Linked DNA regions of Xenopus tropicalis. The main gene of each other region encodes a partner of the protein of the gene in region 5 in a complex. Links are inferred from orthologs where the notes say so. Each region holds a gene or a part of one and is shown on either strand. Other genes may lie near its edges.

Region 1 (3,876 bases), on a different chromosome or scaffold from region 5:
AATGTCCCTACATTACCTTCATTAACTATGCTAGTATGGTGTTGACAATTTCCTGCCCCACGCATCACTTGTGCCAATATCAATAAAATGGATCATAGCATTATATGGCTATATATGGCTTACTTGTGAGCCACAGTCAAATGTAGAAAGACTTGGGAGAGCAACACAAGCACCATAAAAGTTAATGGAGGAGCCAAATAAAGGCTAAGATTGGCTATTAGGCAGCCTCTATGCACACTATCAGCTTACAGGGGCTTTATTTGGTAGTAAATCTTGTTTTTATTCAACCAAAACTTGCCACCAAGTCAGGAATTCAAATATAACTACCTGGTTTGGGGGCACTGAGAGCAACATCTAAGGGGTTGGTTAGCAACATGTTGCCCCCGAGCCACTGGTTGGGAATCACTGCTATGATGGACACCAGCATGGAAACTAAATTACAATGAACACCCCTAGCAATTTATCTTACCTCCTACAGTTACACCGCCATTAAATATTAAAATTTATTTAAAATTAATTCCTAAACAAACAATTACACCTATATAATAAATGTGAAAATAAAGAAAAGACCAAACCCAGTTAATTTAACAGTTTTATTAGAAATAAAAGAATGTAAAAGGAACAGAGAAAAAACTGGGTGTGGAATAGACTCAGAACTTGAACTCTTTGTATTTCTTGCCACCTGCTCGGGAATCCTGTGGTTGCCCCTTCCGCTTCTTTTGCTGGTTGTACAACGGATAAGAAAAGAGAAATAAAATGAATATATTTTATAGGTGTAACAAAGGAATGCATATATTATTATGTATATCCATAAAAATAATACAAATAAGGACACTTCACTTGCTGTGGAGTGAATATTGTAACCGAGTGGTTCCTTAACCATCGAACAGCATGAGGTTGCAGTGCTTTCATTTCATGTAACTGCTTAGTGAAGCCTAATGTACTTTATTTTTAAAAATAGTTGCATTATATCTCAATATATAGCAGGTTTGTTACACGAAATGTCAAGAGGTATGATATACAGGGAGAAAAGGAGCTGTGTTGTGTGTCTGGGAAGCATAAATGAGGACCAGCTCCTTCTCTGAAATATTTTGTTTATATTGAAGCCAGGAGTTTGGGTCCATCTTTCTAATCAGTGGTGAAAATGCTACGGATTATCTGCCCTATGGCAAGAAAATGCTACTGATTATCTGCCCTATGGCAGGAAAATGCTACCTGTCTGGACTCGTAAAGTTTATTGTAAAGGAGAAATAAAGGTTTGGGGCTGTACTCCATAGCTTGGGCTAGGGCCCCTAGTTCCCATGAAAGCAAACCTTAACACTATAGCATATTATGACATTTTAGACAATGCCAAGATTCCAGGAGTTTGGGAAAGGCTTTAATACTGTTTTAGCCCAATGATGCACTAAGCACAACTTTTGTTCAACCCAGAACTCATTTGCTGAGATGGGAGTAAAGGAACTTAAACGGTCTGAACAGTGTCCTGACCTCAAGCTAACAGAATACCTGTGGGATGAAGCAGACTGTAACATAGGTCTAATAGTCACTAATGTTTTGGGATAATCTCTTACTTGTAAAAACTAACACTACAGATGCATATACATATATTTATTTTGGGTTGTACAATTTCAACATACCTTTTGTTTCGCTGCATGCTCTGCCACCATGTCACTAAAGTCTTCTTTCTGTACCTGCTCCTGAGCTTCCCTTACACGTTCCTCATATTTCTGAGTCATTGCCGACGGATCCAATTCCAATTCTTCAGGGGCCAGAGCAATTTCTACGCCCTGTGGCTCAGTGGCGGTACCTCTGCGAGACATGGCCTGTAGAAGATTTAAAAATACATTAATATCTCTTTGCCCAGAGCTAGAAGAGACTTGGTTAAATTATGTCTCCCTGTTGTTTGTTATAAGCTCACTGTTTATCCCACCCAAAATATAACCTTGTAAGTAAATCATTCCAATCTGTTCTGTACAACCACCAACTGCCTCTCAGGCGTTAATTTTTGTCCTTCCTCTAAAACTATTTTCTTTTCTCCTGTCTCCTCTGCTAATAAGATTTTGACAACATCGGGATTCCCTTCTCACCGTGGCCATATCGTAGATGTGGGTGGAGCCCATCATAGCTCCACCCACAGTAGCAGTCCTCTTTTCTGGAAGTACTGTAAAGAGTTGTGGCGTCTCCGTTCTAAGAGAAAACATTTTAAGTGAGGATTAAAAAAAAATTAAACACACAACAGGACATTTTTTGGAAAAAACACAATGTAATAGGCCATATTGCCTTTATCTATAGCTTTACAGAGAAATACAAAAAGTAAAGCTTCTTAGTGTAGGCAGCTTTGAATTACTTTACATTTCAACACCTTACACAAAAATCCTTTTGGTAATGTAGGTACTGTACCTAGTTCCATCACTCCCACGCACAAAATTACTGCTTAAATTTAGCAAAGTAATAAAAATTGTTTTTGAGTGTGGAAGACAAAAATAATAGATTTATCAGATTCAACAATTCTTACCCATCCATGGCTTCCTCAATCTTCTTTTTCCTCAGCTCAATCAGCTCAGGCGTCTCCATGCCGGCAGGGACAGAAGAAAAGCCTCCCGGGGTAATTAAACCACTGCCAGAATTAACAAAACAATAATACTTTAAAATATTAAATTAATTAAAAAAATATTAACTAAAGACTGAGCAGTTGTGACAAAAATCTCTAGTACTGTTTATATAGCTAACTACTATGTCGCTGCTTAGCTATGGGGGTTGCTAATGGTCAATAGAGCTGTAGGGCTAGTTTTTGCAAACCAGATTAGTTTTTCAGAATACTATTGGTTTTATTACCCAAATGCTAATTTAAAAAGAAAAAAAAAAGTCAAGCATCCATTGTTCTCTATGCACACATAGAACAAAAACCTCTCTCATACTGCCAATACACACTATATTGGCTGATGGTGAATAGATATAGTTATATTAGATATTGTTAAATGTTCAATTGCTGGTAGAACCTTTAAGGATTTAACAAAGATCTCAGTTTGAATACAGCCAAGAAAAGGATGACCAGAAAGACCCAAAAATTCTACTTGTACATAGCATCTATGTAAAAATATGAAAGCTAGCAGCGCACCTGTCTGCTGGGGTAATAAATCCAGTTTCATCAGGTTTATCTTCATCACTCTCATCCTCTTCTTCCTCTGAAGATGATTCATCATCGGATAGTTCCAGCTCTCCCCACGGGGTTCTGTCTATATCTTCTTCTTCATTCTTGCTCTATAGAAGCAGAAAAAAAAGTGAGAGCTGGTTTTGTATTCATGGATCTGGAGGACTTGTACAGAAATTAACACTGGCCAAAGAATACAGATTAACCCTCTGAAGGTTATGGCAGCAATTCAACATCTTTCTGCATCAAAAATTTGAATGGGGGCAAAATAAACACCCATATAAAGTATAAGCCCAATTAATAGGCCTTATGTTATATATACCCCTGAGCTACCTTTGTACTGAATGGAAGGTTTTTTTGTTCATTTTTGTTTTTGGATCTGGAATAGTACATTTTTATAGAATGCTCTCTTCGTTACCATTGCTAGGGGAATGCTCCTTTCCTAGCATTTCATTCAGGAATACATTTCTTTTTATATGCTCCCTTCAACAGAAACAATATCCATTTTGATTGTTAAACAGGAGTGTGTACTGGACCATTAAACTGAAATTTACATTTTCATTTATTTAAATTTGTTGTGAAGTAAATGATTTGCATGAAAGTAGTAGCATATTTCCACATGAAAATTGGACCCATATGATGCAAATCCAGATAAGAGAATATGTTTGGAAAAGGAAGCTGTGGAAGAAGAAGCCATAAAAGGGCAATAGATAAATACATACCTG
Region 2 (4,229 bases), on a different chromosome or scaffold from region 5:
TACTTGACTACTGTAACCTGCTGCTAACTGCCCTCCCTAACTCCCATCTTTCCCCACTACAGTCTATATTAAACACTGCTGCCAAAATTCTCCTCCTCTCATCCAGGAGAGTTCAGGCCCTTCCCCTGCTAAAGTCCTTATCATGGCTTCCTATTAAACAAAGAATATCTTACAAACTCCTTCTCCTAACCTTCAAAGCCCTCCATTCCTCTGCTCCTCACTACATCTCTTCCCTTGTGTCGCCGTACATTTCTGGTCGACTCCTCTGTTCCTCGCAGAGTAACTGCTTGGTTACGCCCCCCCCCCACTACTACTGCAGTTTCCCAACTTGCTGCCCCTTATATTTGGAATGCCCTCCCAGATTTCCTCCGAAGAAAATCCTCCCCAGTGTTCTTAAAACTAAACTTAAAGACTAACTTTTGGAGCACTCACCCAGCACCTGATCTGGGAACTGGCACTTATATTGTAATGTCACCCACTGTGACCTACAGCACTTATATTTGCCTATTTGTGTCTGTAAGTTACCCTCCCATCTAGACTGTATGCTCTACGGGGCAGGGACCTCCATCCTCTTGTGTCTTTGACTCTTAACTTATTGCAACTGTATCTTGTATTTATCTGTATTTATTGTTATACTTTGTATTTATCTATTATTTTAATAACCTCCTGTTTGTATTAATGTATTCTACTGTACAGCGCTGCGTACATAAGTACCGCTTAATAAATATATACATACGAAAAGTCCACTGTATAAACAAACCCCTCCCTTCCCCCAGGGGCAGCCTTTAGTCATTAGGCTCTGTGATAAGGAACAGGTATTAGGATGAAGACACATGGTACTTAGTAGCAGCTATTTGTCACGGCTACTAAACGCCAGAAAATCCCCTGCCACAGACAATACTGAGAATTGCCTCTGCTAAAACACACAATTTAGAGACAATTATCAGTAAATGATCAGCACTGTCTATTTTAGTAGCCGTGACAAGTAGCTGCTACTAGTAGCTCCGTGTGTCTTCACCCATATACAGAGGTGTCTCATAATGGTTTGTAAATAATAACAAAAAGAATGTTCAACACAAGCACAAGTGAAATAATCTTGAAAAGGGGGATATACTTCCCCTTTAATGACCAACATAATTCACTGTGCCATGTTAAGGACTACAGAACAAATATCTTACATGCCTTAGCCACTCACATACCTGTATTTGATCTTAGTGTGAGAGGGGAGGTCTCTGCTGGAATACTGCTTTGAGAGCTGACTGAGATCGGCTTCCCCTTTACCTCTGCCGCCTCTTGCTGGTTCAAACGTTGGCCTGGCCGCGGTTGTCATCTTTTACACAACTGTTTCACACACAAATACAAGAACTGTTTTAAAATTCCTACTTTCATAAGCTGACTTTTTCTACACAGCTTCAGGAGTCAGAAGCAGCAGCGCAGAGCACAGGAAAGGCAGAATGATACTACAGGTATGGGACCTGTTATCCAGAATGCTCGTGACCAGATAAGGGATCTCCTACCTTATGTCTGGTAAAAATCATTCAAATATTGAATAAACCCAATAGGCTTATTCTGCCCCAGTAAGGGGTAATTATATCTTAGTTGGGATCAAGTACAGGTACTGTTTTATTATTACAGAGAAAAGGGAATCATTTAACCATGAAATAAACCCAACAGGACTGTTCTGCCCCCAATAAGGGGTAATTATATCTTAGTTGGGATCAAGTACAGGTACTGTTTTATTATTACAGAGAAAAGGGAATCATTTAACCATTAAATAAACCCAATAGGGCTGTTCTGCCCCCAATAAGGGGTAATTATATCTTAGTTGGGATCAAGTACAGGTACTGTTTTATTATTACAGAGAAAAGGGAACCATTTAACCATTAAATAAACCCAATAGGGCTGTTCTGCCCCCAATAAGGGGTAATTATATCTTAGTTGGGATCAAGTACAGGTACTGTTTTATTATTACATAGAAAAGGGAATCATTTAACCATTAAATAAACCCAATAGGGCTGTTCTGCCCCCAATAAGGGGTAATTATATCTTAGTTGGGATCAAGTACAGGTACTGTTTTATTATTACAGAGAAAAGGGAATCATTTAACCATTAAATAAACCCAATAGGGCTGTTCTGCCCCCAATAAGGGGTAATTATATCTTAGTTGGGATCAAGTACAGGTACTGTTTTATTATTACAGAGAAAAGGGAATCATTTAACCATTAAATAAACCCAATAGGGCTGTTCTGCCCCAATAAGGGGTAATTATATCTTAGTTGGGATCAAGTACAGGTACTGTTTTATTATTACAGAGAAAAGGGAATCATTTAACCATTAAATAAACCCAATAGGGCTGTTCTGCTCCAATAAGGGGTAATTATATCTTAGTTGGGATCAAGTACAGGTACTGTTTTATTATTACAGAGAAAAGGGAATCATTTTTAAAAATTTGAATTATTTGATTAAAATGGAGTCTATGGGAGATGGCCTTTCTGTAACTTGGAACGTTCTGGATAACAGGTTTCCAGATAAGGGATCCCATGCCTGTACTTTCAATTGTCCCTCAAGTTGATATTGCTGGCCATAGGCTTAACCAGCCGAGTTCCCTTACATTAGCAGGGGACTCACAGACTGGGCAGGAGGGTACAGTATTGCTAAGTAGATAAAGCCGAGCTGTAAGCTTCCCCAGCCAACAGGGATAGTGGGGGGCGATATATTGCTCCTAGAGGGCCTCAATCCCCTATGACTAAAATAATCGCTGCCGTTCAGCCTGAATTCCCCTCTTCCCAAAGGTGCGATTTCGCTCACCCCGTAACAGCGCCTCAGCCCCAGCACCAAATCCCACGGCGACTGGCGTCACAATTACCCGTCGCGCTAGTTCTTTCCACCGGGAAACTTCCGGCGCTCGGAGTACGCGTCACGTAAGCAAGAGGGCGTTCCAGCTGATTGGAAGCCGTCGGCGGCCATGTTTGTTGTGGCTATGTAATGAATCAGGGGGTGTATGTGCGGTAAAGGGAGAATATTATATAACACTGTGCAGGGCTTCTGACTTCTCTGTGTTGGTTTACATAAGAACATTTCCGAGCAGTCATTTTTCATAACTGAGATTTCTCTTTACTAAATTAGTTGCCCTTTTTTGTTATTCATTAATTCTTTTTAATAATTTTTATGTAGGGACCCCAAGATTTGGGCCCCTGTGCCTGGGTTCCCCTTTAGACAGGCATACCAGTGGGTGGCCTTGTGGGATATGGACCTAAGGGTGGTCCTAATTGTGTGTGTGCTATAGTTTCTAGTTTATTGTCATATACAAATAACAATGAAGCATCATTACCGTTATGAAATTTTTTGACCTGTGTTCCCCCCAACTTTACATAAACATCTACAATTTTTTTTTTAACTTTTTAATTCATCTTTAATTATTATATTATTATAATTATTCTTTCCAGATTAAAAGAGAGTTTCCTCTGCAGTTCAGCAGTGACCACTAGGTGGTGGTGTTCTGCAATATAAAAGGGAATGGACTCACAAACCATGAGGTCTTCTTCCTGGGACTTCACCTCTCTAAGAGGTTAGCTACAGGAGCCAGTTAGACATTTTATTGTCACTCTAGGAGTGAAAGGATAGATAGTGTATGTCTATGAAGATTTTCATTCATCCAGGTCATGGTATATCTAGTATAAATAAATGTAAGGGCTCTGGCACAAGGGGAGATTAGTCACCCGCAACAAATCTCCCTTGTCACGGGCAACTAATCTCCCTGAACTACCATCCCACCGGCGAGCATGTAAGGATGGTACACGCTGCGCAGTTGCCTCGCGAGGCATTTTCGGCGACTTGCCGAAATCGCGCCGCGTGTGCCATCCCACCGGCGACTTACATGTTCGCCGGTGGGATGGCAACTGATGGCAACTCGGGGAGATTAGTCACCCACGAACAGGGAGATTTGTCGCGGGCGACTAATCGCCCCATGTGCCAGAGCCCTAAAGCAACTGGACTTGTTTGTTACCAAACAAGTCCAGTTGCTTTAAATTTATTTATACTAGATAGATAGTGTATTTAGTTGGGCAGTTTGAGGCCCCTCCGAGGAGATCAGTGAGGTTATCACCTCCCGGCATTACTGGCCGTAGCTCAGGGAAATTCAGTGGCTGGCTCAGGTCACAGTATATTCCCAAACGGGAGATTATCTGGAGCAAGAGAAACTCCAGGTTTGGATATAAGGGAGAGATACC
Region 3 (4,213 bases), about 46 Mb from region 5:
ATATTTATTGGCACTGTGCAATAAAAGGGTGTATACATACAGATTATTATAACGCGCTGATACATTCTGCAGCTCTTTAGAGAGATTATAAACCATTCATGTCACTATTAGCCCCACCACAGTTTAGATTTCATTAACATACTGGTCTATGCAAGAATTGGGAATATATACAGTGGTGTGAAAAACTATTTGCCCCCTTCCTGATTTCTTATTCTTTTGCATGTTTGTCACACAAAATGTTTCTGATCATCAAACACATTTAACTATTAGTCAAAGATAACACAAGTAAACACAAAATGCAGTTTTTAAATGAGGGTTTTTATTATTTAGGGAGAAAAAAAATCCAAACCTACATGGCCCTGTGTGAAAAAGTAATTGCCCCCTGAACCTAATAACTGGTTGGGCCACCCTTAGCAGCAATAACTGCAATTGAGCGTTTGCGATAACTTGCAACGAGTCTTTTACAGCGCTCTGGAGGAATTTTGGCCCACTCATCTTTGCAGAATTGTTGTAATTCAGCTTTATTTGAGGGTTTTCTAGCATGAACCGCCTTTTTAAGGTCATGCCACAACATCTCAATAGGATTCAGGTCAGGACTTTGACTAGGCCACTCCAAAGTCTTCATTTTGTTTTTCTTCAGCCATTCAGAGGTGGATTTGCTGGTGTGTTTTGGGTCATTGTCCTGCTGCAGCACCCAAGATCGCTTCAGTTTGAGTTGACGAACAGATGACCGGACATTCTCCTTCAGGATTTTTTGGTAGACAGTAGAATTCATGGTTCCATCTATCACAGCAAGCCTTCCAGGTCCTGAAGCAGCAAAACAACCCCAGACCATCACACTACCACCACCATATTTTACGGTTGGTATGATGTTCTTTTTCTGAAATGCTGTGTTACTTTTACGCCAGATGTAACGGGACATGCACCTTCCAAAAAGTTCAACTTTTGTCTCGTCGGTCCACAAGGTATTTTCCCAAAAGTCTTGGCAATCATTGAGATGTTTTTTAGCAAAATTGAGACGAGCTTTAATGTTCTTTTTGCTTAAAAGTGGTTTGCGCCTTGGAAATCTGCCTGCAGGCCGTTTTTGCCCAGTGTCTTTCTTATGGTGGAGTCGTGAACACTGACCTTAATTGAGGCAAGTGAGGCCTGCAGTTCTTTAGATGTTGTCCTGGAGTCTTTTGTGGCCTCTCGGATGAGTTGTCTCTGCGCTCTTGGGGTAATTTTGGTCGGCCGGCCACTCCTGGGAAGGTTCACCACTGTTCCATGTTTTTGCCATTTGTGGTTCGCTGGAGTCCCAAAGCTTTAGAAATGGCTTTATAACCTTTACCAGACTGATAGATCTCAATTACTTTTGTTCTCATTTGTTCCTGAATTTCTTTGGATCTTGGCACGATGTCTAGCTTTTGAGGTGCTTTTGGTCTACTTCTCTGTGTCAGGTAGCTCCTATTTAAGTGATTTCTTGATTGAAACAGGTGTGGCAGTAATCAGGCCTGGGGGTGACTACAGAAATTGAACTCAGGTGTGATAAACCATAGTTAAGTTATTTTTTAACAAGGGGGGCAATCACTTTTTCACACAGGGCCATGTAGATTTGGAGTTTTTTTTTCTCCCTTAATAACGTAAACCTTCATTTAAAAACTGCATTTTGTGTTCAATTATGTTATCTTTGACTAATAGTTAACGGTTTTGATGAGCAGAAACATTTAAGTGTGACAAACATGCAAAAGAATAAGAAATCAGGAAGGGGGCAAATAGTTTTTCACACCACTGTACTAAATCAGATATAACACTATTTTTCTGACAACAAAACGTCTACTGGTGATTTTTTGTTTAATGGAGAATACAATTTTATTAAAAATGGGTTACCCTATTAACTGTCCATTTTGGTACGATTTTAATTACTAGGTTTAATTTTCCCCAAATAATCATGTTTAAAGCTGTTTTTACCCATCGCTATCTACTTGCTGCCTCCATGTTTTTAAAGGAGTGCCCCATAGTCAAAAACATTACTGAGCATGTGTGAAGTCCCACCCCTTATTGCTAGAGCAATTAAGCCTTAATAAACTAACAAAAAAGTCTGGGCTGAATGTGTTAAAAGGCATATTTTTCAGTCATATGCATTTTTTAAACACAAATTAGTGTTTAAGTTGACCACACAGATCTCTATAATCGTGCAAGCACATAAAGCTGCAGAATATTTCCTTTGTAGAAACTTGTCATGTGGGTCCAACCAGGAAAGATATGGAATTGATTAGAAATTGATTGAAAACATTTAGAACCATTGAAAATGTTTAAATCGTGTATACTGAATAGTTGCTTAGTATTAAAAGACACATATCGGATTTGAATTGGGCTAATAGAACCCGCACTTAGGTTGGGGGAAACAGTACCATTTTGTCCAAAAAAATGCTCATAGCGATGTGCCACCCACACCCGGATGATGGAGAACTTGCTGCAGGTAGCCATGTTATTAACATGCCTGTATATAGTGAGCAAGTGTCACATGCAATTGCATAATGAGAAAACCCGGGGAGCTGTTTATACACACGACCTGGTGCTGGTAGCCTGCAAGGGAAGCTTTTTGGCACTGCCATCTCTGCCACAGTAATTAAATCACAGAACTACACAGCATTTTCTAAGTGCAGGCAAGTTCCGGCTAGTACAATCGCATGCTCTGCTACATAGAGGCATTCGTTCTAAGCGTCAATCAGCTAAACTTAAGTAGATACAAAAGGCTAGTTTTTTTCCTTATTTTTAAGTATTTAAAGCTGGGCTGAAGATATTCCACCAGTTACTCACATCTTTCTTTTTGTCTTTCCTTTCCCTTCTCACGTTTTCCCGGCGTGTAGAACGCTTCCTTTGAAGGGCCACTTCCGCTTCCGGGCCACTTTAGCGGCTAGTTCCTGCTTGATTTGGTTAAGCCTGTAGAAACGTGCCCACGTGATCGACACGAAACAAGTTCCCTCCAGTTTGCTACGCAGAGGGGCAGCGGCGTAATCTGACAGAGAAAAGGCGGGGTGGATTAGTTAACAAAGAGGGCGCATCTAGTTCCTAGAGTGGTTATAGGACAAGGCAAATCTTATTCCAATATTGTTCCAGTATGTAAGGCAACGCTCTGTGCTGGGAATTCAGTCGCTAAAGAGCGCAATAAGAACAGTTCCATGTTTCATTTTGACCATGTTTTCTCAGATTGTGCAATTGGAGGGATATACCAGTAGGTGGCGCAATTGTTACATAATAATTATAATAGACGCTTATAACATGCTTAATAACTTTGAAACTGAAAACAAATCTGAATTGCAAAAGCATTTGGAAGACCGACCAGAAAATGTGTACACTTTTTAGTGTCCTATTGTGTAAAATAACTGAATGGATAGCTTTACTGCGTAGCAGATTTAAAGGTGTTCTTCACCTTTGAATTAACTTTTAGTATGATATAGAGCAGTGTTCCCCAAACAGTAGCTTGCGAGCAACATGTTGCTCTCCAACCCCTTGGATGTTGCTCCCAGTGGCCTCAAACCAGGTGCTCATTTTTGAATTTCTGGTAAAGGAGGCATGTTTTGCAGCCATAAAAAACAAGTATAATGCCAAACAGAACCTTCTGTAGGCTGCCAGTCCACATGGGGGCTATCAAATAGCCAATGATAGCTCTCATTGGCACCTCCAGGAACCTTTTTCATGCTTGTGTTGCTCCCAAACACTTTTTCCACTTGAATGTGGCTCACAGGTATGAAAGGTTGGGGATCCCTGATGTAGAGTGTAATATTCTGAGACAATTTGCAATTGGTCTTAATTTTTTATTTGTAGTATTTTTTTTAGTTCTTTCACTTTTTGTTCATCAGCTATCTTAGAGCTAGAGTCCAGATTACCTTAGCGACCAGGTAGCAATTTGAATGAAAGGGTGGTAAATAAATAGGAGAGGACCTGAATAGAAAAACAAGTTATAAAAAGTAACAATAACAATAAAACTGTATGCTCACCAAGCAATAGTTTTTTGGCTGCTGGGGTCAGTGACCCCTATTTGAAAGCTGGAAAGAGTTAGAAGAAAATAAAAAAATGATTCAAAACTATAAGAAATAATGAATAGGAATAGGCAATTCTATAACACACTAAAAGTTAAAGGAACAGTAACACCAAAAAATGAAAGTGTATAAAAATAATTAATATATTATGTACTATTGCTCTGCACTGGTAAAAGTTGTGTGTTTTCTTC
Region 4 (4,064 bases), on a different chromosome or scaffold from region 5:
GTTACATAATAAATAATAGTAAGGGAAGAGAGAATAAAATATGGGCAAAAAGGGCCAAAGGAACAACAGACATTTAATGGAAAGGGGTACAACACAATCCAGCAACTGACCTCCAAACCCACAGAACCCAGTCTCCTTGTAATCTTTGCAAATATCTGGCTGGTAATCCCAACGTACTGTGGCTCTGAGGTGCTCTGGGGCACGTATTGGTCCTTTCCTAAAATGATAAAAGTTAAAGTTATCAATGCAGACTAAACTATTAGGATTTAATCACCCAGTTGATTGAAAAGTGAAATGTTTCTAAATTAAAACAGAATGGAAAGTGGGAGGGGTACACGTACCTAACCATGCCAGAGGATGCATTGCCCATAGAGGTATCTTTGGGTTTCACAAACTTCTGGTAGTTGTGGATTCCTCGATAGATCTTGTCATCTTCCTTCCCCTTCAACTCCTGTCAGATTAAAGCAAAATAAATAGTGGGAACTAAACAGAGTGTCATCTATGAAAAGGAGAGTATTACAATATTAAAGAAAGTAAAGTGAAGAGAAAAAAAGCACAGAATTTTTAAAGAAACTGCATGTAAGTCATGCAGAACACTGCATGCTTTACTAACACTTATTGCATTCCTTAGTGATCCCCAACCATTGGCTCGGGGGCAACATGTTGCTCACCAACCCCTTGGATGTTGCTCTCACTGCCCCCAAAGCAGGTGCTCATTTTTGAATTCTTGACTTGGTGGCAAGTTTAGGTTGAATAAAAACAAGATTTGCTAACAAATAAAGCCTCGTAAGCTGATGGTGTGCATAGAGGCTACCTATCTTATTTGGCACCTCCACAAACTTTTATGGCACTTGTGTTGCTCTCCAAGTCTTTTTACATTTGATTGTGGCTCATGAGTAAGAAAGGTTGGGGTTCTCTGCTTTAGTGGTTCTCTCATAGTTTAAGGTGAATATATAATCCACTGCATCACATACTAAATACTCACTTCCTGTACTTTCTGGCTCCTCTCAAAAATTGCCTGAGCATCCTTGTCTTTTTCAGTGTCTAGTTCATATGTAGCTGTGGCTCCCATGTCATCTGGCCCTACTGGTTTCTGCAAGAAACAAAGAATGCATACATAGTAAGAAATGGGGGGTGTCTTAGACATGTCATTCTATAAATACAGATTTTTTTTCAATGCATCATTTATATTGAAACAAGACAGACAGCATAGGCTGATTCACAAACTGAATAAAATATCACAAAGAACTAACTGATGATGGGTTTCAAAGATTTTAACATTTATGACATAAAGCCTGTGCTAAGAATAAGCCAATTCCAAAAGAGTCTCTTACCGCAGATCGGGTAGATTTATAAGACACAGTGATAGACTTCGCTGTTTTGTCCTCATCTTCACTGCTGCTTGCTTTGTAATCTTCACAGTCCTTTGGTTGCTGCCTGCTCTAAATCACACACAGAGGTAAATACAACTACCAGAAAGCTCAAGAGGACAAACACTACACACATCCCTTCTGTGGCATGTTAACGTCTGTCCTGCACACAGGGTGACAGGCTGGAGAGGGTTATGGCATGTGTTGTGCTTCCATTCAGCCATTAGCTGCCAGGAGAAGATGATGTGGTATCTATATCTCTAAACAGAGAGGTCTACAGGAAATATCTGGGAGAAGTGTTGCTGCCCACTCTGAAAGATTAACTGGCAGAAAATTTTATAAAGCTCCTTAATGCTCCTGGGGCCTCAGGGTGACATAGTGAATACCTGTGACTCTAACCTTCTGAATCATGGGATTAACCACATCCTTCTTTATCCTCCTTATCACTGGACCTTTCTCTTCCTCGCTGCTCTCTGCAAACAAATCAGTAAAGGACTGATCAGAATAGTACAACACACTTATACAACAGATGCATCTAAGTACTATTCTGAAATTCGATAAATTTAAGACACCAAATGCATGTGAGCCCAGTGACATAAAGGTATGGGATCCCTTATCCGGAAACCTGTATCCAGAAAGTTCCAAATTACGGATCTCCTATAGTCTCCATTTTAATCAAATAATTCACATTTTTAGAAATGATTTCCTTTTTCTCTGTAATAATAAAACAGTATCTTGTACTTGATTCCCAACTAAGATATAATTAATCCTTATTGGAGACAAAACAATCCTATTCAATATTTAAATGATTTTTAACAAACTAAAGTTATGGAGATCCAAATTACAGAAAGACCCCTTATCAGGAAAACCCCAGGCCCTGAGCATTCTGGATAACAGGTCCCATACCTGTACCAATGAACAGTAAATGAGGCTGTATGTATAATTATATTTGTTGTTGTTAATGTTTTGCAAATACTTTGATGGGTTTGATTTTTGTTTTGTCATTTGGACCTTAATTCCCTGGTACATGCTACTGATTTCTAATGGTAATTATATCCAGCAAACAATACAGCCACCCTCACCTGCATCTCCTTTAAGATAGTGGTTTTGAGTAAGGAACAAAGTCGAATAGTTGGCCAATATACACGTTTGAAAATAAAAGCAAAAACCTTATTGGTTGCTAACAGCAACAACACTTGCGCAATTAGTTGTATCTGCGCTCTCTTCTGCATTTAACTCATTTACTCCATCCCAACACTTTGCTGAATTTTATACACGGTAAGCGTGTAATGCCTATAATACTATATTATAATAAACATTTATTTGCACTCCCACTTTCTCCTTGTCTCACCATTGTCCGATTCTTTGCGTTTCCGTCCCGCGAACTTTCGGGCACTTTTTTTAAACACGAAACTGCAAACTGGTGCGTTAGAGTCCGCCATTATTCCTGTGACGCCAGACTAGCTCCAGATTGCGCGCATTGGCTGAGGCCACTTCCTGTTTAGAAAGCGCACGCAGGCGCATTACCGGGGGGAAGTCGCGTTGCTCCAGTAGCAAGATGGCAGCGCGCAAAGCGAAACGTGTGAGTTCGAGCTTTGCCAAGCAAAGTGATGCCGAGCGCCACGATTTGGATAGCAAACTCGCAGCAGTACTGGGAAGTAGAACCAATGCCAACGCGGTGTTTGATATTCTGGAACATCTGGAGGTGAGTGCCCGCTTTGCAGTGTGCTAGCAAACAGTATAACAGCAGCCCTGACAAAGAAGAACATCTTTTGCACGAAACAGAAACACAACATTTTGTGTGACAGTATGCACGTCTAAACAGTGTGACTGGAAGTATTTTAAAGTTCTTATAACAGGGCTCGGCAACCAGTGATAGAAAAAGACAGATGGGAGATGGCCATTAGGGAAAAAAGGAAATGTGAAAAATTACATTTTTGCAGAGAGAGAGAGCTTTTAGCGAGGGTAACATATCAGATTGCTAAGGTTACCAGCCTACTCAACGTATAATTGATGTTATTATTAATCAGCAAGAAAGATCCTGTCTGAATATTTATTTAGAAAAGACTGCAGCCTACAGACAGGGCCAGGTGGGCAAGGCGTGACAGCGGTGGGCAGAGCTAAGATTGAATGCTCAGGTCTGAAAAGAGTGGAACTGCTGGTACATCAGGCCGAATTGTTGGCAGTCAGAATCAGCACTGGGTGGTGCAGGGAAAACAGAATGGCATGAATACATAGTTGTGGGTAATGGGAGAGGAAAATTCTAGTAGCAACGACAATTCCATGAAAGATTCTTTCTAACCTCTTGTCTTTTCTCATTTGCTTTCCCTATTACCTCCGCTGCCCTTTCATTCAGGACCTTCTGTTTTGATCTCACACTTTTCCTAACTTTCCCCTTTATCCCCCGCAACCTTCTGACTCTCACTTTTCCGATTACCACACATTTTCACCCCCTCCATAAACAGAACAACAAATGTGTTTGCGAGTTTCAGTTCTCCTATATTACGGTATAGAATCAGTCACACAGGAACTGTTCCCTTGTGATTATTGTTTGGTCTGTAACAGCTTGTATATTCCTCCCCATAGTAATCACAGTCTATGTACTCCTGAGAGCAACTTAGAGGTCTTTAAAAATTCTCTAGATACTTGCATGCAAGCTAATGTGTCGTTAAATCTCTTACTTGATAGTGGTTC
Region 5 (4,229 bases):
TATGGCACATACAGGCAGCATATGGCAGGCAGAGTATGGCACACACAGGCAGCCTACAGTGACACAATCCTGCCACTGCTCCTACAGTCTGCACAATAACTATATATTAAAACACTTTTTTATTGCAGTACCACCACAGTATATGTTCTTTTTATAGTGTGCAGGGTCTATTTGTGGGTTTCTACTGCTCCTACAGTTGAGGTGTGAACAGGAATACAATGTGGGTGATAACAGCCTGAGCCTGAGGTGTGAACACTGCACGGGGTGAACAATGTAGGAATTAAAAGGTGTGAACAATACAGGGGGTTTACATCCTAAATCTGAGGTGTTAACCATGCAGGGGGCCAGTACTAATACCATTTAAAGCTTACAGAAAGGTAATCCATCAAAGCAGCCAGACAGGTGGGGGGGCTACACAGAGGGGGGTCGCGGGCCCACCCAGCCAGACCCTATGCAGTTGCTCTAAGGAGCAGGAAACTGTCTGGGTGGTCTGTACAGTCCCCACTGGGACAGGTGTTGAGCCCGGTGGGCGTCCCGTGTAGGGGTTAACCATTTAGGCAACAGGTAACCCTGTTCCTGGTGTCACCCGGGGTGTCAGGGCTAGGCCCTGACTGAAGGAATCCTGAAAAATCTCACTAGAGACCTGGCTGTCCATCCTCCTGGTAGGACGACACTTGAAAAACTGATGGATCGGGTACAGTGGAAGGGTAAAGCCCCACCTGGCACGTCCCTTTAATTTGTCAATCAAGTGTCTTGCCTCCTAAAAGGTGGAGCTTAACCCCATATGTCCCCGAGACGGAAGAAAAATCTATTATTCAAAGAGAAGCACATTATTATTTTGTATATTTTAGTGACACAAGCATCATTGCTACTGCTCTTTATTAAAACTAGCCCATTCAGCTGAAAGGATTATCTCCCCAGCCACATCAATATCTGACCCCTTTTGTATAACATTAAGGTGATGCTATAATATACATGCTGCTTGCAACGCAGGCCAAAGCTGTAGTAATAAAGAAGGAAGTGTTATAACAAGCATGAAACATAACAATAAATGTATTGCACATTTTCCAAAGTAATTTACCTTGCACCGAAAGGAAAAACCTCTGGAAGTGAAAATATTTTAGGCTAAGGACTACCCCACTGGCTCTCCTCTTCTTCTAAAAAATGCACCAGTATTGGGTGACTTGTGAACATAGTCATCTTCTTCTATTTTCCCACATATTCCCTACACCACCTTAAGCAAGCACCTGCAGTACACGACATTTTGCAGATATTTATGCTGCACATGTACCAAGTTCGATTACTGGGGCTGACTGGTATGAACGCACCAAATCCACTATTTTCGAAATCAGCCGAACCCCAAATCCTTAAAAGATATGGGCGAGTAACAAACTAAATCAGAATTTACATATAAAAGTTAGGGTAAGAAAGGGTTAAAGAGAACGGTCTGTGCTGCAAAAAAATTTCAGCTTCCATGTTTATGTGACAAAGAGTCACGTGGTTTTAAAGGAGAAGGAAAGGGAAAGTCACTTGGGGGTGCCAAAATGTTAGGCACCCCCAAGTGACTTGAATCGCATACCTTTTACCCCGGGCTGGTGCCCCTGTTCGGAGAGAACAGCACCAGCCCGGGGTAGCTGCAGCGCTTCCTCCGAGAAGTCGGCTTTTCACTCTACTGCGCATGCGCCTATTGTGTTAGTCTTAGCGAAATGCAGGCGGAAGCGCATCGCTGCAGGTACCCCGGGCTGGTGCTGTTTTCTCCTAACAGGGTCACCAGCCCAGGGTACGAGGTAAGCGATTTAAGTCACTTGGGGGTGCCTAACATTTTAGCACCCCCAAGTGACTTAGCCTTTCCTTCTCCTTTAAGGATTCAGTTCGGCCAGGATCATGGATTCGTCTGAATACTAATCCTGCTAAAAAAAAAAAAAGGACAAATCGTGGCCAAATCCCAAACCGAATCCTGGATTCAGCGCATCCCTAATGACCAGGAACAGGAAAACGATGTTGGTGGTGCACTGCCCAGAAGGTAGTTTCATATTTCTGTCTCTCTTTCAAATCACTGCATGGTTGCTATAGTAAATTGGACCCTAGCAACCAGACAGCTGTCAAAAATTTCAGACTTGAGAACTGCTGAACAAAAAGCTAAATAATTCAAAAATCTCAAATAATAAAGAATAAATACCAATTGTAAACAGTCTGAAAATAGCACTTTCTACATCATAGGTAAAGTTAAAGGTGAACAACCCCTTTAACAGACCTGGAGTACAGACTTCTGCTACTGCATGGTTTCAGGAGTCAGTCTATGGTCCTTCAGCTATTGCTAAACTGCAACTCCGACCGTTCCAAATACTGAAGTGAAGCTAGAGCTACATGGCAACCCATTAGCACCTCTAATATATAATATACAGTTGTATGGGTGCAGCAACAGAAATAGTAAAGAAGAGGTTAACCATGTGTACTATACACTATTATATAATAAGAGAGAAATAATACAAACCCACGCTGACTTTACAAGTAACTACAGCAGACAAACCCAAGCAGTGTTGCACTTGCCACTTTCTCCCGCAAACACTCTATATCTATATCTTACCTGAGCAACTCTTTACCCTCTGCCCCGACCAAATACTCCTTCTCGTCCTCTTCTCTCTCATCTCCATTGGCCACAAGGAATTTCTTTTTCGAACTGCGACTAAATCCAAAAGATACTGGAGCTTGCGAAGAGCCGCCAGCGGCCATTTTCTCGCTAGTAGCGCAAAGCATCCTGGGAAAGTCTACCAACACGATGAAAAGCTGCATTGTGGGAAGAGCAGGGCGTCGCAACGCATTGTGGGTATACTGGGATTTTCGTGGAGGGAACGAGGGTTATAGAACTAGCAGTTACCATGGAACGAGATTGTTTGTGTTCCTGTTCCCGAGAATGTGCATGCGTGGGTGCCTGTTCCCGAGAATGTGCATGCGTGGGTGCCTGTTCCCGAGAATGTGCATGCATGGGCGCCTGTTCCCGAGAATGTGCATGCATGGGTGCCTGTTTCAGAGAATGTGCATGCATGGGTGCCTGTTTCAGAGAATGTGCATGCATGGGTGCCTGTTTCAGCGAATGTGCATGCATGGGTGCCTGTTTCAGAGAATGTGCATGCATGGGTGCCTGTTTCAGAGAATGTGCATGCATGGGTGCCTGTTTCAGAGAATGTGCATGCATGGGCGCCTGTTTCAGAGAATGTGCATGCATGGGCGCCTGTTTCAGAGAATGTGCATGTATGGGTGCCTGTTTCAGATAATGTGCATTCATGGGTGCCTGTTTCAGACAATGTGCATTCATGGGTGCCTGTTTCAGAGAATGTGCATGCATGGGTGCCTGTTTCAGATAATGTGCATTCATGGGTGCCTGTTTTATTCTCTTATTGTGTGGGGGTAATATCTCAGCATGACATTTTATATTTCGTTATTCATGGGGATATGTCTGAACGATATCCTTACCACATGGGGTACATTTAACAAAAGCTGATGCAATGGTTCTACATGGTACTCCTAGGGTTAAGGATGTGCTGGGTGTGTCTAACCTGAGGATGAGTATGTGGCATACAGGGGGTTAAAGAGGTGTTGGGTGTGCACTACTGAAGGGTATTTAAGCAACAGGGGGGTGGGGGACTCCGTTTATTGCTTCTGATGAAGTGGCCGTGAGCCACGAAACGCGTTAAGCTGGGGAGTAACCGTTCTTCAATTATGTAATGTGTTTTTAATGGAAGCGACAAATAAAGGATAAATATTTTTATTATCACAGTAGTCCTGGCGTGCTCCATCCTACCATACCAATTTTTGTTGCCTGTTTCAGAGAATGTGTATTCATGGGTGCCTGTTTCAGACAATGTGCATTCATGGGTGCCTGTTTCAGAGAATGTGCATTCATGAGCGCCTGTTTCCTAGAATGTGTATTCATGGGTGCTTGTTTCAGAGGATGTGTATGTGGGTTCTTTTTTGCCTGTGTAAGAGAAAGTGTATGTTTTTGGGTCCATGTGTGCTTGTTTCAGAGGATGTGCATGTGGTTTCTTGTGTGCCTGTGTGAGAGAATGTGTATGTTTGTGGGTCCATGTGGCTTCTTGTGTGCCTGTGTGAGTAATCTCTGGGTGTGTCTGTGTCCATTCGTGCCAGTGTCAAAGGATGTACAGGTCCTTTTCAAAAAATTAGCATATTGTGATAAAGTTCATTATTTTCTGTAATGTACTGATAAACAT
Region 6 (3,595 bases), about 51 Mb from region 5:
CCCCTTTAAGGCCTAGTTTTAATATTGGCAAGACGAGGCTGACATTATAAGGGTTTACCAAAACACAGAAAGAAATCGCCAGTGCTCGGTCTAACCCACGCTGTAGCGTTGACCAGCTGCTAGAAACACCCTTGTGCCAGCGCTCGGGCTAGCCCACATTCTGGAGTTGACCAGCTGCTAGAAACGATAAAAAGCGATTAATTATACACAAAGAGAAAGAAAGATTGCCAGCGCACAAGGGTGTTTCTAGCAGCTGGTCAACGCTACAGCGTGGGTTAGACCGAGCGCTGGCGATTTCTTTCTGTGTTTTGTGTACAAATTGTAACCAAATTTTGCTTTTAGCTGCTATGTAGCCTTTAAACCAATGAATCACTTTCATGTGTGTGCTAATGAGCTGGGGCTTAAAAGTTCCCTGCTTTTCCACTAGAGCCCTTTTGAGCTAAGGGTAGGTGCAACAGGGTCTTACTACTCAGTCACACTGAGTCTGTGATACAATTAAAATTAAGTCCCCCAGCAAAGTCATTAGACAGTGTAGGACTCGCGTACAATGAGGGGCCTTGACATGGCACGTGAGCTTACATATTTTGGCCAAAGTGTGGTACTAACACCTCATTTTTTGTAAAAATTATTTTTAAAGGCAAACTAAGTGCTGGCAATCTTTCTTTCTCTTTGTGTATAATTAATGGCTTTTTATAGTTTCTAGCAGCTGGTCAACTCCAGAATGTGGGCTAGACCGAGCGCTGGCACAAGGGTGTTTCTAGCAGCTGGTCAACGCTACAGCGTGGGTTAGACCGAGCGCTGGCGATTTCTTTCTGTGTTTTGTGTACAAATTGTAGCCAAATTTTGCTTCTAGCTGCTATGTAGCCTTTAAACCAATGAATCACTTTCATGTGTGTGCTAATGAGCTGGGGCTTAAAAGTTCCCTGCTTTTCCACTAGAGCCTTTTTGAGCTAAAGGTAGGTGCAACAGGGTCTTACTACTCAGTCACATTGTTTGCTGGGGGACTTGATTTTAATTGCATCACAGACTCAAAGTCATTAGACAGTGTAGGACTCGCGTACAATGAGGGGCCTTGACGTGGCACAAGAGCTTACATATTTTGGCCAAAGTGTGGTACTAACACCTCATTATAAGGGTTTACCCTTATTGTTTTGAAAGCATTTCTCATTGATTATTAAATTAAGGGCTATTCTGCAGTTATAAATTAATGTTAGGCTGAAAATCTTGCAGGAGGTGAACTAAAGCTGTCCAATTGTGGTACCAAAGATTTTTTGACCCTATGTCTGCCCAAGTATGCCATAGACTTTTTTTTTTTATTTTTTTAAATCTATAAAAAAAAATCTGCCTGAAAACTTCTACACTGAAAATGATGGACAGCATTGGTTCAACAGATTAGTAAGACTTACCTTTGAGCAGGGAGTCACAATGAGGGACTCCATTCCTGATCGAGCATTGTAACTTTTCTGCTTGCAGAAACCTGGGTCAATAACATATATAATTCCATCAATTGTAAGTGATGTTTCAGCAATGTTAGTGGCTATCACAACCTGAAAAAAAAAGAAAATACGACAATGCTAAAAGGTTCATAACTCCTTCTAACCTACTACTCCAGCATGTTTGAATAGGAAGAGGAAATGTCATGCCCTGAGACGCTCTGCCTAACATTTAAGCACTATATATGACAGATACAGCTGCAAAATATATATGTGGAATAGCCTGCTTTGAGGGTGGCACCCCTGTATGTTTGCAAATTAATAAGAACTCTTCTTTAAAGACAACCTTATGGTAACTAAACTGGTTGGGAGTGTCATACAGTTATACAGATATACAAGGGTTGGATACAAGGAAATGCTCTGTTAGTACCACAGTCATATAATACCAGCTTTAGAATGGTTTCAGTCATTTTTATACTTTATAATGTGTATTTATTAACATGCCTTAATGAACACATTGTAGGTTTTCTATATTTAATAAGACCTCATATGTAGCTATTGTGTACACTTAATCACATTACTAGAGGCCATGTAGGTCCTGTGGGAGAGTCTGGAAGCAATTCATAATAAAACATCGTTGGAGTGCCAGTTTAGGGTAGTTACTGGTAGTTACATCAGTTTATACAGCTCAGGTTTAGAAGGGCAGCCCAATACTGCATATGGTATTTGCCTCAGACTCCTTATAGGAAGAAGTAGTACCACAATTCCCTTCTCTCTGAAACACACAATGTAAGGGAATAACTTATAGCATCTTTTGTCTGTGCTATTCTTAAAGGGTGTGCTAAGCATTTAGTTTAGTTATTTCTCTCTCTACATAATTGGGTTACACTACAAGATGATGTCCAGACACGTCATTTTAGATGTTTAGGTCCGGCAGAAGGGTGGGAGTCAGACTTTACTATTTAATAAGTACAAGAAAACCAGCTAGACTCTCATACTTTTCTTGCTCCTGGAGGTGTAGGTTCAAAGATCTTTGCCTGCATGTCAGAAGGCAAATTAGCATATATTGGTAACACCAGCATCTCTGCAATCTTGGATCCTAGTCGACGACATCGCTCTTGTAGCATCTCACAGCATGTTTCTATCTCCTCCTGCAACATATGAAATGTACATGTACCAAGACTGCATAGCAGTGGCACTGCTTATAACATCAGTACATTTACATTAAATGATAAACCTAACAAAGGGTTATTGCACATACAAAATTCACACTGCCACTATTTAGCATGAGCTTTTTTTTTTGCATTTCCTACAGATGTTAACTGGAAGGGACTTCTATCTAGGCAGTCAAATAATCCCATATCACATTAACCTAAGGTCAGTGACTTTTCAAACTTTTTTTTTTTTTTTTTTTTTTTTTAAATACCAAAACGTATATATTTGTTGGTTAGCACATTCCCACTTCTGCCTACATACCTGTCCTGTAAGAAAGACTAAGATGTCTCCTGGTGGCTGGGTAACATGAATCTGCAACACTGACACCACACAGGCCTCCAAGTAATCTGCTTCAGGAGCCTGTTGTGAAAATATCATTCATCAAAAAAGGAAATAAACATAAAATGCCCAATCTCATCAATAATGCTGCCAATGTCAATTCTCGTGTCAAACCTACAGTGATTTACCTTGGTGTAATATATATCCACTGGATACCGGCGCCCAGGAATACGAAACACTGGGGCATCATCAAAAAAGGAGGAAAATCGCTCTGTGTTTAGGGTGGCACTGGCTACCAGAACTTTGAGGTCTTGGCGGAAACGGGCAATGTCTTTAATGAGGCCAAAAAGAACATCTGTGTGCAAAGTCCTTTCATGAGCTTCATCTATTATTATTACACTTGTGGAAAAAAAAAATGATAAGGAAATGGAGAGAGTAATACAGAATACAGGCTGGTCGCTGTACAAATGAATTAATTTTTCTAAAGATTCTGTATGAGGCATGATGTATTCATATGTAACAGAAGTCCCCTGCCTAAATACATACAAATCCAGAGATTGCATAATGGATACCTGTAAGATGCCAGATCAGGCTCAGTGAGAAATTCCCGCAGTAACATCCCATCTGTCATATACTTCAGCACTGTGCGCTCAGATGTGCAGTCTTCA
Region 7 (4,289 bases), about 110 Mb from region 5:
GAGCAAATAAAAAAAAGTTACTCAAAACTATGGCAGCATAGGGATTCCCCTGTACTAAGCACAATTCAGCAGGAACAGCCCCCTAAGTTTGCTCATAGCCTGTACAGAGAGATACCATAAAACTATGGCACATAGGGATTCCCCTGTACTAAGCACAATTCAGCAGGAACAGCCCCCTAAGTTTGCTCATAGCCTGTACAGAGAGATACCATAAAACTATGGCACATAGGGATTCTCCTGTACTAAGCACAATTCAGCAGGAACAGCCCCCTAAGTTTGCTCATAGCCTGTACAGAGAGATACCATAAAACTATGGCAGCATAGGGATTCCCCTGTACTAAGCACAATTCAGCAGGAACAGCCCCCTAAGTTTGCTCATAGCCTGTACAGAGAGATACCATAAAACTATGGCACATAGGGATTCCCCTGTACTAAGCACAATTCAGCAGGAACAGCCCATTAAGTTTGCTCATAGCCTGTACAGAGAGATACCATAAAACTATGGCACATAGGGATTCCCCTGTACTAAGCACAATTCAGCAGGAACAGCCCCCTAAGTTTGCTCATAGCCTGTACAGAGAGATACCATAAAACTATGGCACATAGGGATTCCCCTGTACTAAGCACAATTCAGCAGGAACAGCCCCCTAAGTTTGCTCATAGCCTGTACAGAGAGATACCATAAAACTATGGCACATAGGGATTCCCCTGTACTAAGCGCAATTCAGCAGGAACAACCCCCTAAGTTTGCTCATAGCCTGTACAGAGAGATACCATAAAACTATGGCACATAGGGATTCCCCTGTACTAAGCACAATTCAGCAGGAACAGCCCCCTAATAGCCAATAGCCTGGAGAAAGAGAAATCTGCCCACCTGTTCTCCTGCATCTTCTGCCTGTACAAAATCAAAATGGCGCCTCTTCTGGATCTCATTGTTATGCTCCAGCTTCTTGCCGTAATACCGCTGCTGACCTGTAGGAGAGTTGAGAGGGAGTCAGCGGCCCATTGCACAAATATGTATTATAGACATGTGACCAGTCATTAAAGGGGATGTTCACCTTTGAGTTAACTTTTAGTATGATATAGAGAATATTCTAAGACAATCTGCAATTGGTCTTCATTTTTTATTATTTGCAGTTTTCCGCAGCTATGTGGTTGCTAGGGTTCAAACTACCTTAGCAACCAGGCAGCAGAATGAATGAGAAACTGGTATATGAACAGAAGAGGGCCTGTATAGAAAGATAATGGGGGAGGAGACAGAATAAAACCTGGTATTGGGGCAGAGACCAGTAGCTACAGGCTCCACATTAAAATGGCATACAGGAAATGAAGTCATAACAGGAAGTTAAGTCACAAAGTCAGACAGGAAGTTATAAATACAAAAATAAATAATTAATAAATCAACAGGGGAACATCCCTAGGCAAGTCTTCGGATCCGCAAATGCCAGACAGGACGTTATGTCAGAAATCTGGAGAGGAAATGAAGTCATAAGACAGGAAATGGATCTCTTTTCTAGTCAGTAACTTACCGGCTAAGTGCTTCTTCCCGCTTCTGTGCACAGACAACATATCGATGGTACTGAAGACGGGCCGGTGATGGCACACGGTGCAAGCGTAGCTGTTATATACACAACACAGTTACACAGAGGGATAGGCAGGGGCCCCGGAATATAAGGGTATATAGAAGCAAGCCCTCCCAGGGGCCCACACCGAGGGAACCAATCAGTGGAGAGACCCTTACCTGCCATTTTTAAGAAGCAAAGCCTCATCCTCCGGGATGTAACTGGCCAGCAGATCCGCCACTCGCCTCTTCTGTAGGGAGACAGGAAATGGGATATTAAATTAACCCTTCCCCCTTACAACTGCACCCTACTCTGCCACAGGCACCCTACCCACACCCCAAACCAAAACCACAGACACCTTACCCTTCCCCACCCACAGGCACCCTACTCTTCCTTACCCCCACCCACAGGCACCCTACTCTTCCTTACCCCCACCCACAGGCACCCTACTCTTCCTTACCCCCACCCACACGCACCCTACCCTTCCCTACCCCCACGCGCCCTACCCTTCCCTACCCCCACCCCCAGGCACCCTACCCTTCCCTACCCCCACCCCCAGGCACCCTACCCTTCCCTACCCCCACCCCCAGGCACCCTACTCTTCCTTACCCCCACCCACAGGCACCCTACTCTTCCTTACCCCCACCCACAGGCACCCTACTCTTCCTTACCCCCACGCGCCCTACCCTTCCCTACCCCCACGCGCCCTACCCTTCCCTACCCCCACGCGCCCTACCCTTCCCTACCCCCACCCCCAGGCACCCTACCCTTCCTTACCCCCACCCCCAGGCACCCTACTCTTCCTTACCCCCACCCACAGGCACCCTACCCTTCCCTACCCCCACGCGCCCTACCCTTCCCTACCCCCACCCCCAGGCACCCTACTCTTCCTTACCCCCACCCCCAGGCACCCTACTCTTCCTTACCCCCACCCACAGGCACCCTACCCCACCCACCCACAGACACCCTACCCTTCCCCCCACCCCCAGGCACCCTACCTTTCCCTACCCCACCCTTCCCCCCACCTCTAGACACCATACCCTACCCTTCCCCCCCCAGACACCCTCCCCTCCCCTGTATGGGTATCACCCCGTACCTTTAGAACGTTCAGCTGGCTCAGATCATCCCCATCCCGTTTAAACGACATAGCCCAGCCTGTAGCGCCCCCTTTGAGAGCTGTAACCCTGCGCGGCCACCGTACTCCTTTCTGCGGCCTTACGGGAAATGTAGTTTATTTCCGGAGAGGAGGAGGCGGAGTCCGGGCATTATGGGACTTGTAGTTCCGTGAGAGCCGCGAATCCTGGGGCAGAGCCTGTGCTGCACTACTGCTCCCGGCATGCCTTGCTCCTGTCACCCCTGCCCAGCAGTGAGCTGTGTATTATTGGGTACTTGCCTGTGCTGGGCAGCTGGAAGGGCTGTGGGTCTGTGCTGGGGGTATTGGGGCAGCTTTTAGCCCAGCCCAACCCCCTTGGGCAAACCCCTGTCAGTGCTGTCATGTGATACTAATGAATTCTCCCTTTTTCTTTCAGTCTGATTGAATTAGTAGCCCAGCATGTGACTGAGGGCTGCAGGGACTCCATCTCTGCCTCCACTTCTGCCTCCACCTCTGCCCAGTCAGACAATGTATAGTTAACTTGCCCTTTAGAGCTCACAAGCCATGGCATCCAACTCTGGGCACAGAGACTCTGGGCTTCTCCATGGAACCAGGACCCGTTCCTATGGCAGCCTAGTCCAGTCGCCCTATTCACCGGCCCGGATCCGCAAACTGGAGCACCAGGTCCAGCCCGGGGACACACTGCAGGGCTTGGCACTCAGATACGGCGTCACGGTGAGTACGGTACCTTCCTATTATAGGGTGTAGGGTGCTGGGAGTTGCAGTTTAGCAACAGCTGGAGACCCCTTGTGTATAACTGGTAATATCTAACAGCTGTTAGTCTCATATGCCCTTTGTACAGTTCTCTACTCCCCCCCCCAGGGGACATGCCTTACCTGCCCCACCCTAGAACCAACCCCCCAGGATGTTATCAGGAAGGCATTGGGTTCAGATACAGCCGGTGGGCCTGATAAACATGAAGGGAAATGAAAATATGGTGAATTTGGTGCACGACACTGTCAGGGCACATTCAGTCCTTATACAAAGTCTCCATTCTCTGGGTATCCGGGATCAGGCTGCATCCTGGTTCTCTTCCTATCTCTCTAACCGCTCCTTCTCTGTCGCTCTTACTAACCAATCCCCTACCCCGGTTCTGCTTAGTGTGGGGGCTCAGCTCAGTGTGGGGGTTCAGCTCAGTGTGGGGCCCTTTGCTTGGCCCTTTGCTGTTCTCCCTGTACACTCTCTCTTTAGGAGACCTTATTTCTTCTTTTGGTCTTAAATATCACTTCTCCTCCTTTCACCATGACTATTGATGGCATGACCGTTAACCCTGTTAATTCTGCACGCTGCCTTGGGGTTATCTGCCATTTTTCCTCTGCAATATTGCCAAGATACGCCCCTTTCTTTCACAAGTAACAGCTAAAACACTAATCCATGCCCTTATCCTTTCTCGCTTAGATTACTGCAATCTCCTACTAACCAGCCTCCCAGACTCCCACCTCTCTTCCCTACAATCTGTCTTCAAAGAGGGAAGCTCTGCCGGGTACATGGGTAGAGTCATTAGCAGTGGGCAAGGCTGGCAGGGTACTGGGTACATGGGCAGAGGGATTAGCAGTGGGTAAGGCTGGCAGGGT

The links.
Region 1: gpkow (region 5) and sf3b2 share a complex: the UniProt entries of both Homo sapiens proteins name them as parts of the minor spliceosome. The link is inferred for Xenopus tropicalis from reciprocal best matches to the Homo sapiens genes GPKOW and SF3B2.
Region 2: gpkow (region 5) and cwc15 share a complex: the UniProt entries of both Homo sapiens proteins name them as parts of the minor spliceosome. The link is inferred for Xenopus tropicalis from reciprocal best matches to the Homo sapiens genes GPKOW and CWC15.
Region 3: gpkow (region 5) and snrpd2 share a complex: the UniProt entries of both Homo sapiens proteins name them as parts of the minor spliceosome. The link is inferred for Xenopus tropicalis from reciprocal best matches to the Homo sapiens genes GPKOW and SNRPD2.
Region 4: gpkow (region 5) and rnf113a share a complex: the UniProt entries of both Homo sapiens proteins name them as parts of the minor spliceosome. The link is inferred for Xenopus tropicalis from reciprocal best matches to the Homo sapiens genes GPKOW and RNF113A.
Region 6: gpkow (region 5) and dhx16 share a complex: the UniProt entries of both Homo sapiens proteins name them as parts of the minor spliceosome. The link is inferred for Xenopus tropicalis from reciprocal best matches to the Homo sapiens genes GPKOW and DHX16.
Region 7: gpkow (region 5) and scnm1 share a complex: the UniProt entries of both Homo sapiens proteins name them as parts of the minor spliceosome. The link is inferred for Xenopus tropicalis from reciprocal best matches to the Homo sapiens genes GPKOW and SCNM1.

The regions. Positions count from the first base shown.
Region 1 is NC_030680.2:40,081,422-40,085,297, forward strand, and holds the end of sf3b2 (splicing factor 3B subunit 2), read right to left. Parts: coding exon 3,874-3,876; intron 3,262-3,873; coding exon 3,119-3,261; intron 2,618-3,118; coding exon 2,516-2,617; intron 2,188-2,515; coding exon 2,088-2,187; intron 1,824-2,087; coding exon 1,638-1,823; intron 723-1,637; coding exon 651-722; 3' UTR 580-650; downstream 1-579. UniProt on the Homo sapiens protein: Component of the 17S U2 SnRNP complex of the spliceosome, a large ribonucleoprotein complex that removes introns from transcribed pre-mRNAs.
Region 2 is NC_030678.2:164,535,059-164,539,287, forward strand, and holds the start of cwc15 (protein CWC15 homolog), read right to left. Parts: upstream 2,844-4,229; 5' UTR 2,809-2,843; intron 1,342-2,808; 5' UTR 1,331-1,341; coding exon 1,200-1,330; intron 1-1,199. UniProt on the Homo sapiens protein: Involved in pre-mRNA splicing as component of the spliceosome. Component of the PRP19-CDC5L complex that forms an integral part of the spliceosome and is required for activating pre-mRNA splicing.
Region 3 is NC_030684.2:70,386,136-70,390,348, forward strand, and holds the start of snrpd2 (small nuclear ribonucleoprotein Sm D2), read right to left. Parts: upstream 2,873-4,213; 5' UTR 2,802-2,872; coding exon 2,800-2,801; intron 1-2,799. UniProt on the Homo sapiens protein: Plays a role in pre-mRNA splicing as a core component of the spliceosomal U1, U2, U4 and U5 small nuclear ribonucleoproteins (snRNPs), the building blocks of the spliceosome.
Region 4 is NC_030677.2:156,458,462-156,462,525, reverse strand, and holds the start of rnf113a (RING finger protein 113A), read right to left. Parts: upstream 2,831-4,064; 5' UTR 2,813-2,830; coding exon 2,722-2,812; intron 1,844-2,721; coding exon 1,770-1,843; intron 1,443-1,769; coding exon 1,335-1,442; intron 1,094-1,334; coding exon 986-1,093; intron 452-985; coding exon 342-451; intron 218-341; coding exon 111-217; intron 1-110. Other genes in the region: noc4l (nucleolar complex protein 4 homolog), read left to right, coding at 2,929-3,075. UniProt on the Homo sapiens protein: Required for pre-mRNA splicing as component of the spliceosome. As a component of the minor spliceosome, involved in the splicing of U12-type introns in pre-mRNAs. E3 ubiquitin-protein ligase that catalyzes the transfer of ubiquitin onto target proteins.
Region 5 is NC_030684.2:23,990,572-23,994,800, reverse strand, and holds the start of gpkow (G-patch domain and KOW motifs-containing protein), read right to left. Parts: upstream 2,822-4,229; 5' UTR 2,794-2,821; coding exon 2,588-2,793; intron 1-2,587. UniProt on the Homo sapiens protein: RNA-binding protein involved in pre-mRNA splicing. As a component of the minor spliceosome, involved in the splicing of U12-type introns in pre-mRNAs.
Region 6 is NC_030684.2:75,482,136-75,485,730, forward strand, and holds part of dhx16 (putative pre-mRNA-splicing factor ATP-dependent RNA helicase DHX16), read right to left. Parts: coding exon 3,500-3,595; intron 3,327-3,499; coding exon 3,116-3,326; intron 3,009-3,115; coding exon 2,910-3,008; intron 2,585-2,909; coding exon 2,432-2,584; intron 1,548-2,431; coding exon 1,407-1,547; intron 1-1,406. UniProt on the Homo sapiens protein: Required for pre-mRNA splicing as a component of the spliceosome. Contributes to pre-mRNA splicing after spliceosome formation and prior to the first transesterification reaction.
Region 7 is NC_030684.2:137,908,956-137,913,244, reverse strand, and holds the start of scnm1 (sodium channel modifier 1), read right to left. Parts: upstream 2,805-4,289; 5' UTR 2,710-2,804; coding exon 2,659-2,709; intron 1,813-2,658; coding exon 1,742-1,812; intron 1,619-1,741; coding exon 1,530-1,618; intron 973-1,529; coding exon 875-972; intron 1-874. Other genes in the region: lysmd1 (lysM and putative peptidoglycan-binding domain-containing protein 1), read left to right, coding at 3,220-3,390. UniProt on the Homo sapiens protein: As a component of the minor spliceosome, involved in the splicing of U12-type introns in pre-mRNAs. Plays a role in the regulation of primary cilia length and Hedgehog signaling.